Linked DNA regions of Diceros bicornis minor. Each later gene encodes a partner of the first gene's protein in a complex. Links are inferred from orthologs where the notes say so. Each region holds a gene or a part of one and is shown in the gene's direction. Other genes may lie near its edges.

Evidence for each region.
Region 2: the proteins of IRF2BP2 (region 1) and ZBTB16 are in contact, whole or in part, in a crystal structure (PDB 8YTH), measured with the Homo sapiens proteins. The link is inferred for Diceros bicornis minor from reciprocal best matches to the Homo sapiens genes IRF2BP2 and ZBTB16. Residues at the interface, in NP_892017.2 of Homo sapiens: Thr516, His517, Phe518, Val519, Gln520, Pro522, Phe531, Leu557, Trp564, Ala565, Phe566, Met567, Glu570, Thr573, Ile574; in NP_001018011.1 of Homo sapiens: Arg285, Ser287, Val288, Ile289, Thr290, Ser291.
Region 3: the proteins of IRF2BP2 (region 1) and IRF2 are in contact, whole or in part, in a crystal structure (PDB 8YTG), measured with the Homo sapiens proteins. The link is inferred for Diceros bicornis minor from reciprocal best matches to the Homo sapiens genes IRF2BP2 and IRF2. Residues at the interface, in NP_892017.2 of Homo sapiens: His517, Phe518, Val519, Gln520, Pro522, Phe531, Leu557, Trp564, Ala565, Phe566, Met567, Glu570, Thr573, Ile574; in NP_002190.2 of Homo sapiens: Arg331, Ala332, Ser333, Val334, Ile335, Lys336.

What each region holds. Positions count from the first base shown.
Region 1 is NC_080745.1:21,814,347-21,818,085, forward strand, and holds the start of IRF2BP2 (interferon regulatory factor 2-binding protein 2), read left to right. Parts: upstream 1-1,383; 5' UTR 1,384-1,897; coding exon 1,898-2,945; intron 2,946-3,541; coding exon 3,542-3,739. UniProt on the Homo sapiens protein: Acts as a transcriptional corepressor in a IRF2-dependent manner; this repression is not mediated by histone deacetylase activities. Represses the NFAT1-dependent transactivation of NFAT-responsive promoters.
Region 2 is NC_080746.1:22,382,439-22,386,177, reverse strand, and holds the start of ZBTB16 (zinc finger and BTB domain-containing protein 16), read left to right. Parts: upstream 1-1,302; 5' UTR 1,303-1,529; intron 1,530-3,739. UniProt on the Homo sapiens protein: Acts as a transcriptional repressor. Transcriptional repression may be mediated through recruitment of histone deacetylases to target promoters. May play a role in myeloid maturation and in the development and/or maintenance of other differentiated tissues.
Region 3 is NC_080768.1:16,193,245-16,196,983, reverse strand, and holds the start of IRF2 (interferon regulatory factor 2), read left to right. Parts: upstream 1-843; 5' UTR 844-914; coding exon 915-1,091; intron 1,092-1,800; exon of another isoform or gene 1,801-2,007; intron 2,008-3,739. UniProt on the Homo sapiens protein: Specifically binds to the upstream regulatory region of type I IFN and IFN-inducible MHC class I genes (the interferon consensus sequence (ICS)) and represses those genes. Also acts as an activator for several genes including H4 and IL7.

The sequences.
Region 1 (3,739 bases):
GATAAAAGTGTGAAACTCAACTGCTCAATTCAGTCTGTGGCTGCCAACAGTGGCAGAGCGCGGCGGGCCGGGCTGGCTCTGCCGCCACACCCCGCCTTCGCGCCAGGCGGGTTTGCACCCAATGGGGGCTAAGCCCGGCCGGGGCCGCGCAATGGGCGCAATTCCGCTCCCGCCCCACACAGCGCCCTGGACGCCGACCAACGGCCCGCCCCTGCGCGACAACTGCCAGCGCGGCCCGCAGGCCGGCCCGCTCGTCACCCCTACGGCCGCCACCGACCCCGCCGCCGCTCGCGCCCGCGGCCCACGCCATCCCCAGTCCAAGTTTGGCCCCAGGGGCGGGGCCTGGCCGTCCAGAGTCCGCGGTGGGGGCGGAGCCTGCGTGGTGACGCCGCCGCGCTGGCCGTAGACCCTGGATCCCTGGAATGTGCATTCGTTCAATGAGGCCGCCAGTGCCAGCGGCGCCGAATCACGTCCGCGCGGAGCGTGCGCACTCGGCGGCGGCGGCGCACGCGGGCCCGCGGCCCCGCGCCCACGTCACGCGCACGCCGAGCGGACCTACATAAGGCGGCAGGGGTTGGTGGCTCCGCGAGGGTTGCTGCTCCGTAGGGTGGGGTGTGATCTTGTGGGGAGGTGAGAGCGGGCTTGAGAGGGAGCTTTGGTGGTGTTTGTAACGATAGGGCTCGCGCTCCCTTCCTGAAGGGCTCCGTGAAACGGCGTATGGACGCTGTCCTAAGCTTGGGCATAGTCAGACTCTCCTATGTTAGTAAAACTTAAGGGGACCGGCGGCACATGTGTCCTCAAGACAAATGCGAGTGTAAAAACACTTACTGAAGAGTTCAAATACAACTGAAAAAATCTCAAAACTGTGAACCAAGCTAGATTTAAAATCCCCTTTCTCAAGAGATTGACAGAACCAAGTTAGAAAGTGGCGTTGCTTTTAAAAACATGAGTTTTCACACGATTGTGCCCAAATGCACCTGGAGGGGAGGGAACCCTGACTGAAGGCGAGGTCGCCGAGCGGGTGGAGGAAGGCAAACCACTCTCGCACCGTGTTCACGTCGGGGCCACCGGCGCGGCGCGGGCGGGCGGCGCTGACCCAGGGCGGGCGCCGTGGAGCCGGCTCTCCCGGCAGCGCTCGTTCTCCGCGCGGGGGGAGGGGCGGGCGCGGGGGAGGGCGGGCGCGCGCGCGAGGGGAGGGGGCCCGCGCAGGCGCCGTGCGAGGCTGTCGAAGAATCAAGTCTGTAGAAGTGGAGCGGTCGCGGCGGCAGCAGCAGCAGCGACGGCGGCGGCAGCGCTGACGCGGGCTGGGCGCTGACGCGGGCGCTGGAGAGCGGCGACGCCAGAAGCTGTGAGAGAGCAGCGGAGCGACCCGGGGTCCGCTCCACGCCGCCCGGCCGCCGCCCCGGCGCGGCATGCCCCGCCGCTCGGGCTGAGCCTGCCCCGGCGGCCGCCCCCCGCCCCCCGCCCCCCCGGCCTCCCCGCCCCCCGCCCCACACTCCGCTCCGGCCGCCGCCGCGACCTGCTGCGCTCCCCCGCGCCCGCGCGGCCCGTCTTTGCCCCGGTCTGGAGGCCCGCCGCGGCCCCGGCCGAGCCTCCGCCGCCGCGCCCGCCGCGCCGCGCCGCCCCGCCGCCCGCCCGCGCCGGCCGGGGGGACGTGCTGCCGCGGCTGCAGCCCCTCGCCCCGCGCCCGCCGCCCCTGGTGCACCGGGGGCGCTGCGCGGGCGCCGAGCTTTCGCGGGCTTTGCCGCCGCCGCCGCCTCTGCGGCCGCGGCCGCCGCCGCCGCTCGTGGGGGAGCCGCGGGGTTGGGGGGGGAGGAGGGCGCGCGTGGTGCCGGCGGGGGGCGGCGGCGCCCCCTCCTCCTCCTCCTCCGCCGCCAGCGCCGCGGGCTCCTCGGACATGGCCGCGGCGGTGGCGGTGGCGGCCGCGTCCCGGCGGCAGTCGTGCTACCTGTGTGACCTGCCCCGCATGCCCTGGGCCATGATCTGGGACTTCACCGAGCCCGTGTGCCGCGGCTGCGTCAACTACGAGGGCGCCGACCGCGTCGAGTTCGTCATCGAGACGGCGCGGCAGCTCAAGCGGGCGCACGGCTGCTTCCCGGAGGGCCGCTCCCCGCCCGGCGCCGCGGCCCCGGCCGCCGCCAAGCCGCCGCCGCTCTCGGCCAAGGACCTCCTCCTGCAGCAGCAGCAGCAGCTCGGCCACGGCGGCCCCGAGGCGGCCCCGCGCGGCCCGCAGGCCCTGGAGCGCTACCCCCTGGCGGCCGCCGCCGAGCGGCCCCCGCGCCTCGGCTCCGACTTTGGCGGCAGCCGCCCGGCCGCGGGCTTGGCCCAGCCGCCGACGCCGCAGCCGCCGCCCGTGAACGGCATCCTGGTGCCCAACGGCTTCTCCAAGCTGGAGGAGCCGCCCGAGCTGAACCGCCAGAGTCCGAACCCGCGGCGCGGCCACGCCGTGCCGCCCACCCTGGTGCCGCTCATGAACGGCTCGGCTACGCCGCTGCCCGCCGCGCTGGGTCTCAGCGGCCGCGCCGCCGCCTCGCTGGCCGCCGTGTCGGGGGCCGCGGCCGCCGGCCTGGGCTCGGCGCAGCCCGCCGACCTGGGCGCCCACAAGCGGCCGGCGTCTGTGTCGAGCAGCGCGGCCGCGGAGCACGAGCAACGCGAGGCGGCGGCCAAGGAGAAGCAGCCGCCGCCGCCCTCGCACCGCGGCCCTACCGACAGCCTGTCCACTGCGGCCGGGGCCGCCGAGCTGGGCCCCGAGGGCGTGGGCAAAGGCCGCGGGCCCGGAGAGCAGGACTGGGTCAACAGGCCCAAGACCGTGCGCGACACGCTGCTGGCGCTGCACCAGCACGGCCACTCGGGGCCCTTCGAGAGCAAGTTTAAGAAGGAGCCGGCCCTGACTGCAGGCAGGTTGTTGGGTTTCGAGGCCAACGGGGCCAACGGGTCTAAAGCAGGTAGGGGCGGCTGTGGAGTGAGGGGCTCTAGGGGAGACAAGGGGACGGAGAGCAGAGGAGGGGGTGCTCTTTCCATTCACCGTTCTACTCTAGCCCAGAAACAACAAACACCCAACTTCCTGATCTGCCTGAGGCGGAACCAGTGCTTAGTGGCAACGTGTTCATGTGCTGAAGCAGCATAACAGAGATGAGTCAGACTAGGCTGATAGGCACTGACACAGGGTTTTCCTTTCCCAGCACATTCTTGGATGGGAGCATGAGGGCACCAGTCACCTTTTAACCTGTTGGGGGACGTTAGCAATCGTATGCACAGTTCAGTCTGGGTATATGTATGCGTGTGTTAAAACAGGAGATTACATACGTGCCATTTTCGGTAGCTTTTTTTTTTTTTAAAGTGGTATACTGCTTCAGAGCCTCATGAGTCTAAGCGTTTTAAGTTGCACGTGCCCTGGAAACTCGCGTGTGTTTTTATGTACAAGTTTTTAGAGAATAGGAATTGTTTAGTGAGTTTTGTTTCATATTAGTAAAAGAAAGATATGTTTTATTGCGTGTTCATTTATTTTCTCTTGTTTTCTTTTATTTCTTTGATTTTCTAGTTGCGAGAACAGCAAGAAAAAGGAAGCCTTCTCCAGAACCAGAAGGTGAAGTTGGGCCCCCTAAGATCAATGGAGAGGCACAACCGTGGCTGTCCACATCCACAGAAGGGCTCAAGATCCCCATTACTCCTACATCCTCTTTTGTGTCTCCACCACCACCCACTGCCTCACCTCATTCCAACCGGACCACACCGCCTG
Region 2 (3,739 bases), on another chromosome or scaffold:
CCAGAGGCACGCATCGGAATGTGACTGTACGTGAGTCGGGCGGAAAACCCTTGACCCACTCGCGTCTCAGGGACAGAGTGTGGGGACTCAGAACTCTGTGCTTGAAGCCTCGCGCTGCTGAGATTGTATGACCTCCGGGGCTGACTGGCCTGAGACCCAGGGAGGGCGCTCTCCACCACCACCCTCACCCCAAAGCTCCTGGACCTTAGTCGGCTGCCATGGCCTGTGCTCAGAGGAGCGCTTCCCACCTCTTGTCCCCTACCTTCGCCAAGCTCCAGGGAAAGGGGGGAGAAAGGGACTCTCCATCACCGGAAGAGGGGCAGACTTCTGGTTGCTCTTACCCGGGTTTAGTGATCTCAACTCCACCTTCTAAAGTGGAGCGGCCAGCTGAGAGGACGAAGCACTTTTGTGGGACCTGGAGCTTCTTCAGGCTTTCACTCGCCCCCTGAAGACTTTGCGCTGACTAGGGCGCAGTTCTCAGGAACTGTTTCCAGCCAGGTTCCCTGGGGGTCAAAGTCCAGGGGATGCTCAAGACTGGGAGGGAGGAAAGTTTCTCTCAGGCTTCGACCTCGGCCTCCAGGGATCCCGACAGCTAAAACTGGGTGTCTCCCCTCGACGATAGATCCCCGCGGAGCCTCTGGCACCTGGCTCACCAGGGCCCTCGAGCTCTGCGCCTGGAGACTTCTCGCAATCCGGCTGCTCAACGCCCAGAGGCGCAGAAGACCTGGGCTTGGGCTGGGAAATTGACCTTCTAAAACCGACGTCGGGGTACAGGGGATGTAGCCCCGAGCCCGGAGAAAAAGTGAAAGGCGAGAAAACACGCACTGAATCGGGGCAAACATTTGAAGCCGGGGACCAAACTCCGCGCCTGGAGCAGCAGGAGAAAACAAACCCCGTGTCCAGGGGAAATTAAAAACCAGGGGGTTGAAGGTGGGGGCTGCTCCTCGCCCCTCACCTCCATTGCCCCCACTAAGGGTTCCAAGCCCCTGGAACTCCTCTCCACGAGCTCCTTCTTTCCTCTCCGCTTGGCCGGTAAGCGGCGGCCGCCGGCGCCCCAGCAGCAGCTAGATGTCAGGCGAAGCCCGGGGCGCGGCGCGCGGGGAAGGGAGGGGAGGGGAAAGGAGGGGGGAGTGGGGCGGGGAGCGCGCGCGGGCTTGGCCAGTGCGGGGGGTGGGCGGGCTGAGCCCAGGGACGGCGCGGGAGGGGGGAGAGAAGGGGGGCAGCTATGGGCAGGGAGCCGGGCTCGGCCGCCAGCACTAAAGATGGAGAGGCGCCGGGGCCTCGCAGGGGAGGGGGCTTGGCGTTGACGTGGGACGCGGCGGAGGCGCCGCAGCCGGTGGTGATTTGCTAACCTCACAGCAGAGAGGAGTTGAGGGCGATGAGAGCGGGTACTGCGAACTGCCGGGCGATGCCGCCGCTGCCGCCTTGATACCGAGAGCAACAGTTCCCCAGCAACACCCCTCCCCGACGCAGGCACACACCCCTCAAGAGGCACGCACACCCACCCTACAGCGCCTGGCTCGGCAGCGGTGAGTGGGATGTCGGGGAGGGGCGCACCGCTCAGCAATAGCCTTGCGCCAGGGCGCCCCAGGACTGGAGAGGTCTTGGGGGCGCGCTCGCTTCGGCCACTCGGCCGCTGGGCTTGTGCCTTATTTTATTCGGCTTGCTCCCTTCTTGCTGCTGCAGCCGTCGCCACCGCCAGTTGGGGGGGGGTCGGCTAGAAGGGGGAGCCCCGGCTGTCAGCCTAGGCGAGCTGCCTCCCCAACCCTTCCGCTCCAGGGCACGGTCGGGGTGAGAGGTAGGGGGCAGAGCGGTCTACAGTGGCTGAGGGCGCGAGCGGAGGATTGGGGATCCGGAGGCTTTGTACCACCAGGGGCCGGCAGTGGAGCCGGGGGCCGGTGGGTGCTCATGTGTATGCGGACCGGTGCGCGGGCGCGAGATAGGGTTGTGGTTTATTTGTGTGTTTATTCGCCGGTCGGCTGGGAAGCTAGAATCGGAGGATCCGAGGAGTGGATCTGGAGGCGAAGGAGAGCAGGACTGGGACTCACTTGGGTTTTGTTTCTCTTTGAAAAACGTGGTGGGCTCTTTTTTCTTGATTGGACTTGATCCCCCCGTTTTGGGGGGGAGGGGCAGCCGTGGCGTAGCTCCGGAGGGTCTCTAGGGCTCCGGGCCCTCCTCGGCTCTCGGCGGGACCGGCCGTGGCGCCGGAGCTCGCTGTGCGCTCCCGACCGCTCTCGGTGGGTGCCCCGGCTCTGCACCTGATGCGTTCGGGATGCCTTTCCCATCCTGGCGCTCCGGCAGCTCGCTCGCACAGCCCCTCGAACACTCCCGCACGCGCTCGAAATGCGCACGATCTCTCTGGCCCGCGGACCCACCAGAACGCACAGACGCGCTCGGCACCGACTCACTCGCCCGCTCCCTGAGACGTTCGCAACGTGCCTGGGGAGGCACGCCGGCTGCTGGCGCCGGAGGCCGGGGACCCTGCCCGTCACTCCCGGGAGTCACGGCCCTGGGTCGAAGAGGAAAGGCCGGCAGATCTTTTCTCGCCTTTCCTCCCACAACTCGCTGTCGGGCTTTTGTGCTTCCCCTTCGCCGCGGGGCGGGTCCGCCTCCTCGCGGCTCTCGCCAGGAGTCCAGCCAGCTCGGACTCTCGCTTTCCGCCCGGGTCTCTTTCGTTTTCCCTCTTCCCTAGCCCGGCTCCCTTTCTTTCTGCGGTCTGGCTCCCCGGGAAAAGTTGCTTCCCTAAGTTTGCTGAAGTCGTCTCCAAGTCTCTGTGGGGGTGGCTGGGAACTGGGGGTGTGTGAGAGCGCGATCGATCCCTGGAGCTCGAGCGGGTTAGCCCCGGCTTTCCCCCGCGGCGCCGGGCTGGGCGCCGCAGCCAGCGCCGGCCGGATCGTGGGCGCCGAGCCGCGGGTCGGGGGGACCGCTGACCGAGGGCACCCTGATTTCCCTCAGGACCCGAGGAGCTTGCTTTTGGGAAGGAATTGGGGTAGCCCAGCTTCCATTCTTTCGATTGCTCTCTCCTAGTTCTCCGAAACCCCGAAGTCTTCGGGAAGGCGCACGGTGGCGAGGCGCCGATGAATGGCCCTCCCATCCTTGACGGCCTCAGTCCCCACCCCAGGGTGGGCAGCAAAAGTGTCTCGATTAGCCGTCCTGTTAACCCTTTCTGCGTGGGATTTGTGGCTGTGGAGCCAATAGGGCTCCTTTTGGGGGCGGAGGCAAGCAGTGTTCCAGGAGTGAGGGAGAACCCTTGCTCTGCTTTGCTCCCAGTTCGTTTCACTGCAGTATTGGCCACAGCAAGGCAGAGGCTGGGGGTGACCTGGGCCTGGGGGTCTTTCTAACACTCTTTAAACCGAGTTTGGGCCTGCCAGAGCCCTGTTGTTGATCCCGAACAGCGCTTTGGGGAGAGGCCTTTGTCTCCCAGCCCTGTCCTCCCTTCATACTGGTTGTAACTAACACTGCAGATGCTGGTGCCAATATCACTTCTAGCGCCTCAAAGCCATGTCCAGCATCAATTGCTGCTCCTGGTCACAGGACTTGCCCACTCCTGGGAGCCTGTGGGACGCACTTGGAATTCATGTGCCCAGCATGTGCTCTCCTGGATGTAGGGGTGCATATTTCCTATGATCTCTTTCCGTAGATCTTTCATGACCTATCCTCCTACTTTTATAGATTCTCCCGTCCACTGGGCACTTGTGGGCAGGGGTAAGTGTGGCATCTTATATAAGTGTGCACACGT
Region 3 (3,739 bases), on another chromosome or scaffold:
ATTGACTTTTCCGAGAAATGATGACAGCGGCGCTGCCTGCCAATGAACGGCGGCGGCGAACTTCCGCACCTCCGGGCCGGGCCGCGCGCGCCCTCCCTCCGCCTCCACCTCCCGGTTGCACAAGCTTGAAACAAACACTGGGGAGGAAGGGCGGAGGGAGGAGGGCGGAGGGGGGAGCGAGGGAGGGAGCGAGGGAGGGAAGCAGGAGGAGGGCGGGGGGTGGGGGGATTTCCAGCCTCGGCTCTTCGCAGTTTCCTCTCCTTGTTTTGCTTTCGATCTGGACTGTTCTCAGGCAAGCCGGGGAGTAACTTTTAGTTTTGCTCCTGCGATTATTCAACTGACGGGCTTTCATTTCCATTTCATACACCCTAGCAACACTTAAACCTTGCGGAATTGTATTGGTAGCGTGAAAAAGCACACTGAGAGGTAACATTTTTCAAATAATAGTTGTGACTGTGCGTGTGTGTTTTTCTCGAGGGCATGTTTATGAGGACCGGAGGGGAGATGTATGCGTGCGTGTCCTGATGGTTTGACACGATGTTTTGCAGACGGAAAATGCTGAGGTTCATAAATATTAATACCGATTTTTGGAGGAACAGTCGGCGCCGTTATGGATCATCTGATTTTAGGGGAAGCAGGTTCTGCTGCTGTTGCTGCTGCTACTGGGGCTGCTGAGGCTGCAGAGAGGAGGAGGAGGTAGAGAGGGAGGAGGAGGAGGAGGAGGAGGAGGTCGGTGGAGGTTTAATTTCACTTTTGGATTTGCAGATGCGGAGAGGTGGCTCCATGGACACGGACCTGCTCTGTGTGATTCTGCGCCCCAGGTGTTGTGTGTGGGGGTGCAGGTCCGCTGGAGTCGGGCCTCCTTTTTAAAACAAAATTGTCGCGGACATGTGTGTGCGTGTGTGTGTTTACAGATGCCGTCGCCACCAGATCCGAAGGAGGGGAGCGGGTCCTTCTGGGTGCCCGGCGGCGGCGCCCCTCTCCAGGCAGCCTCCAGCGTAAATAAGCAGAACCCGCTGCCCGCCGGGCTGTCTGCGCCCGCGCCCCGGCCGGGAGAGGCGCCTCCAGCCGCGGCGAAAGGAAACTTGATGGTGCGCCCCGCGGCGGTCCCAGAGCTCGCCCGCCCCTGGGGCTCGGGGAAGGGGCGCAGGCGGCGGGTGCCAGCGGCCGGAGCCGGCGGGCGGGCTCGGAGCTGGGCTGGGCGCCGGGCCTGGCCGGCACGCCCGGCTTCCTGGGGGCTGGGCCGCCGCCGCCGCTCGGGGGGGACGCCGCGTCCTCCTTCCCGCCGGCCAGCGCCCGGCCTGGCCCTGGGGCTTTGTCACTGCACTTGTCCTGGCGCGCGGGGGGCTCGGGCGGCGCGTCCGGGGAGGGCGGCGCGCCGAGGGGTCATCTGCCCCGGCCGCGGCCTAGCCGGGCGCCTCCGGGTCCCCGCGGGCGCCCCCGGGCCGGCCTGGCGCGCTGGGCCTGACCCGCCTCGGCTACGGAGCGGGCGAGGTGGGGGCGGGGAGCCTCGGGGGACCGAGCGGCGCCCTGCTGGCAGGCGTGGGGGCCGGCGTCCACCGGGGGTCCTGGGGCGCGGGCTGCCGCGGGGTGGGGACGTGAGTGCCCGCCCCGCGCCCTCTGACCCCGCTCTGGGCGCCGAGTGGCATCTGCCCGCCGGCCGAACATGGTTGGTGCAAAGCCGCGGCCGCCACTTCCTCTCCGCCTCGCCGGCCGGGCTCGCCCACCGAGCGCTGCCCGCCGCGGCCAATCGTGGCGCCCGCCCGCCTGCGGCCGCCCTCAGCGCCACGGCCTGGGCGCCGGCCCCCGAGGGGGGCTCGGAAGCCTTTCCAAGTTCGGAGGGCGCCAGGATGCCCCTCATCCTCCTGCCCAGGACGCAGTGGCATCTCCCTTAGGCCCCAGGTGTGGGTGCGTTTGCCGCGCTGACCCCCTTGCCCCGTTAGAGGCGGAGAAGGGAAGGAGGCTGGCAGCCCGAGCCGGGCGCAAAGACGGTGTTCCGGGCACCAGGTGAGGCACCCGGGTCAGTCGGTGTAGGCAGGACCCTTGGTCATCAGCTGTAAACGTGACCTCTGGGACTGGCAGTCGAGGTTGCCTTACATTGGCAGCGTGGCCTTCACCCATCTTTAACCCCATAGGATAGTCCTTGGAACTTGGGGACATTTTACCCCAAGAGGGAGGGACTCCCTCTTCAGCCTCTTCCCTCCAGTGTGGGCAGTGGGTAGTGCTCCTCGTCCTTGGTTGCGGAATAAGAAAACGCGGAGTCCTTCTAAGTGAGGAATAGTGCTGGCGTTTGCCTCCTGCCCCTGGCCTCCTTGTTGCTGTGACTCGGTCTGCTTTTGATGAATGGCTCGGGAGGGTGGAGGATAGTTACATTTCCTGTTGTGGATTTTCAGGAATCACCAAGGTTGCTGTCAAGCCTGCAGTCTTTTATTAGTTTTCAGACTGACTGCAAATAATTGGAACTTAGCAGCCTGCACTTTTTGGTGCTTGAGGGCAGGTGCAGACAGGGGTCTGGTGACAGACTGAGTATGGAAGGTGGATGGTCTTGATGTTCCACAGATGCGCGCTCCCTTACCACGACCCCGAGGGTGATCCCTGTTTAACTTCGTCGTGCACACAGATTCAGGATTCTCTAGTTTTCTCAAACTGCTCCCCTCCCCCCAATCATTCTTTTTTTGGAGAGGGAAAGGATGGAAATAGAAACCTAAAAAATCCTGGAAAAACTTGTCTTTTTTAAGGAAACTTCCGCAGATGGAATGTTTAGGACTTAATATGGCATTTCTAAGGGGTAATTTTGGAACATTGATTGATTGAGGTGGCAAAGTCCGGAATTTCACTGTAATTAGTGAATGATTATAATTTATAACTTAGCCTGTTGTGTAAGAAGTTAGATTTTGGCCTCTAGATCCCAGAGTTCTTGTCTGTTATGATTTGTAGCTGCTTCTTAATATTAAACATTTACATATTTCATTCTCAATGAGTTGTCTCTTTTTCTGCTGACCTTCAAAAGTTAGAGATAATTCCACATATTTCAGACCCACCTGTAAAAATGTCATCATAATCAAAAGTAAGGGTTTGTAGTTAAATTGGAAGCAAATTATGGCAAATGGTTGTCCTCAAGTACTGAAAACTCTATGAACTGTGGCCGCACTTTTCTCTTTCTCTGCTTTCTGAAGTTCTTTATTAGGCACATATTCAATATACCAAAGCTAGTTAAAGATGTTTAAACTTAGTAGTGAAAAATTTGAAACTTTGGTTGTTTTACATGTGATGTGCATCGATTTTCCCATGTTGCCAAGGAAAGTGTACTTTTATTCTTAGTATCATTGAGTATAAGCTGTAGTTTTCAGAGCATTTTCACACAATTTCCTTTTGATAGAGAACAGACCACTGAACTCTAAATGGGGTATCTGGGACATGGTTGCATTACATGCTTTATACCAAAAAGGTCTTGAAGCAGACAAGGGACTTTATTTATTCATTTCATAAATATTACTAGAACATTCACTATGCCCCAGACACAGTGCTGGGCTCTGAGGGTTCAACTGGGAACAGGAGGACAACTTCTCTACCCTCTGGGGAGATAGTGCATTCTAGTTGTTGAGCTGACAGTACACAACTGAAAAATAAGTTCAGTAGCTGCCTAGTGAGGTTAGTTCTATGGAAGGTGATAATAATACTTAACTGTGTATCTGATAGGGTTGCTTTTGGGAACAAATGAGATACTGTATGTGAAAGA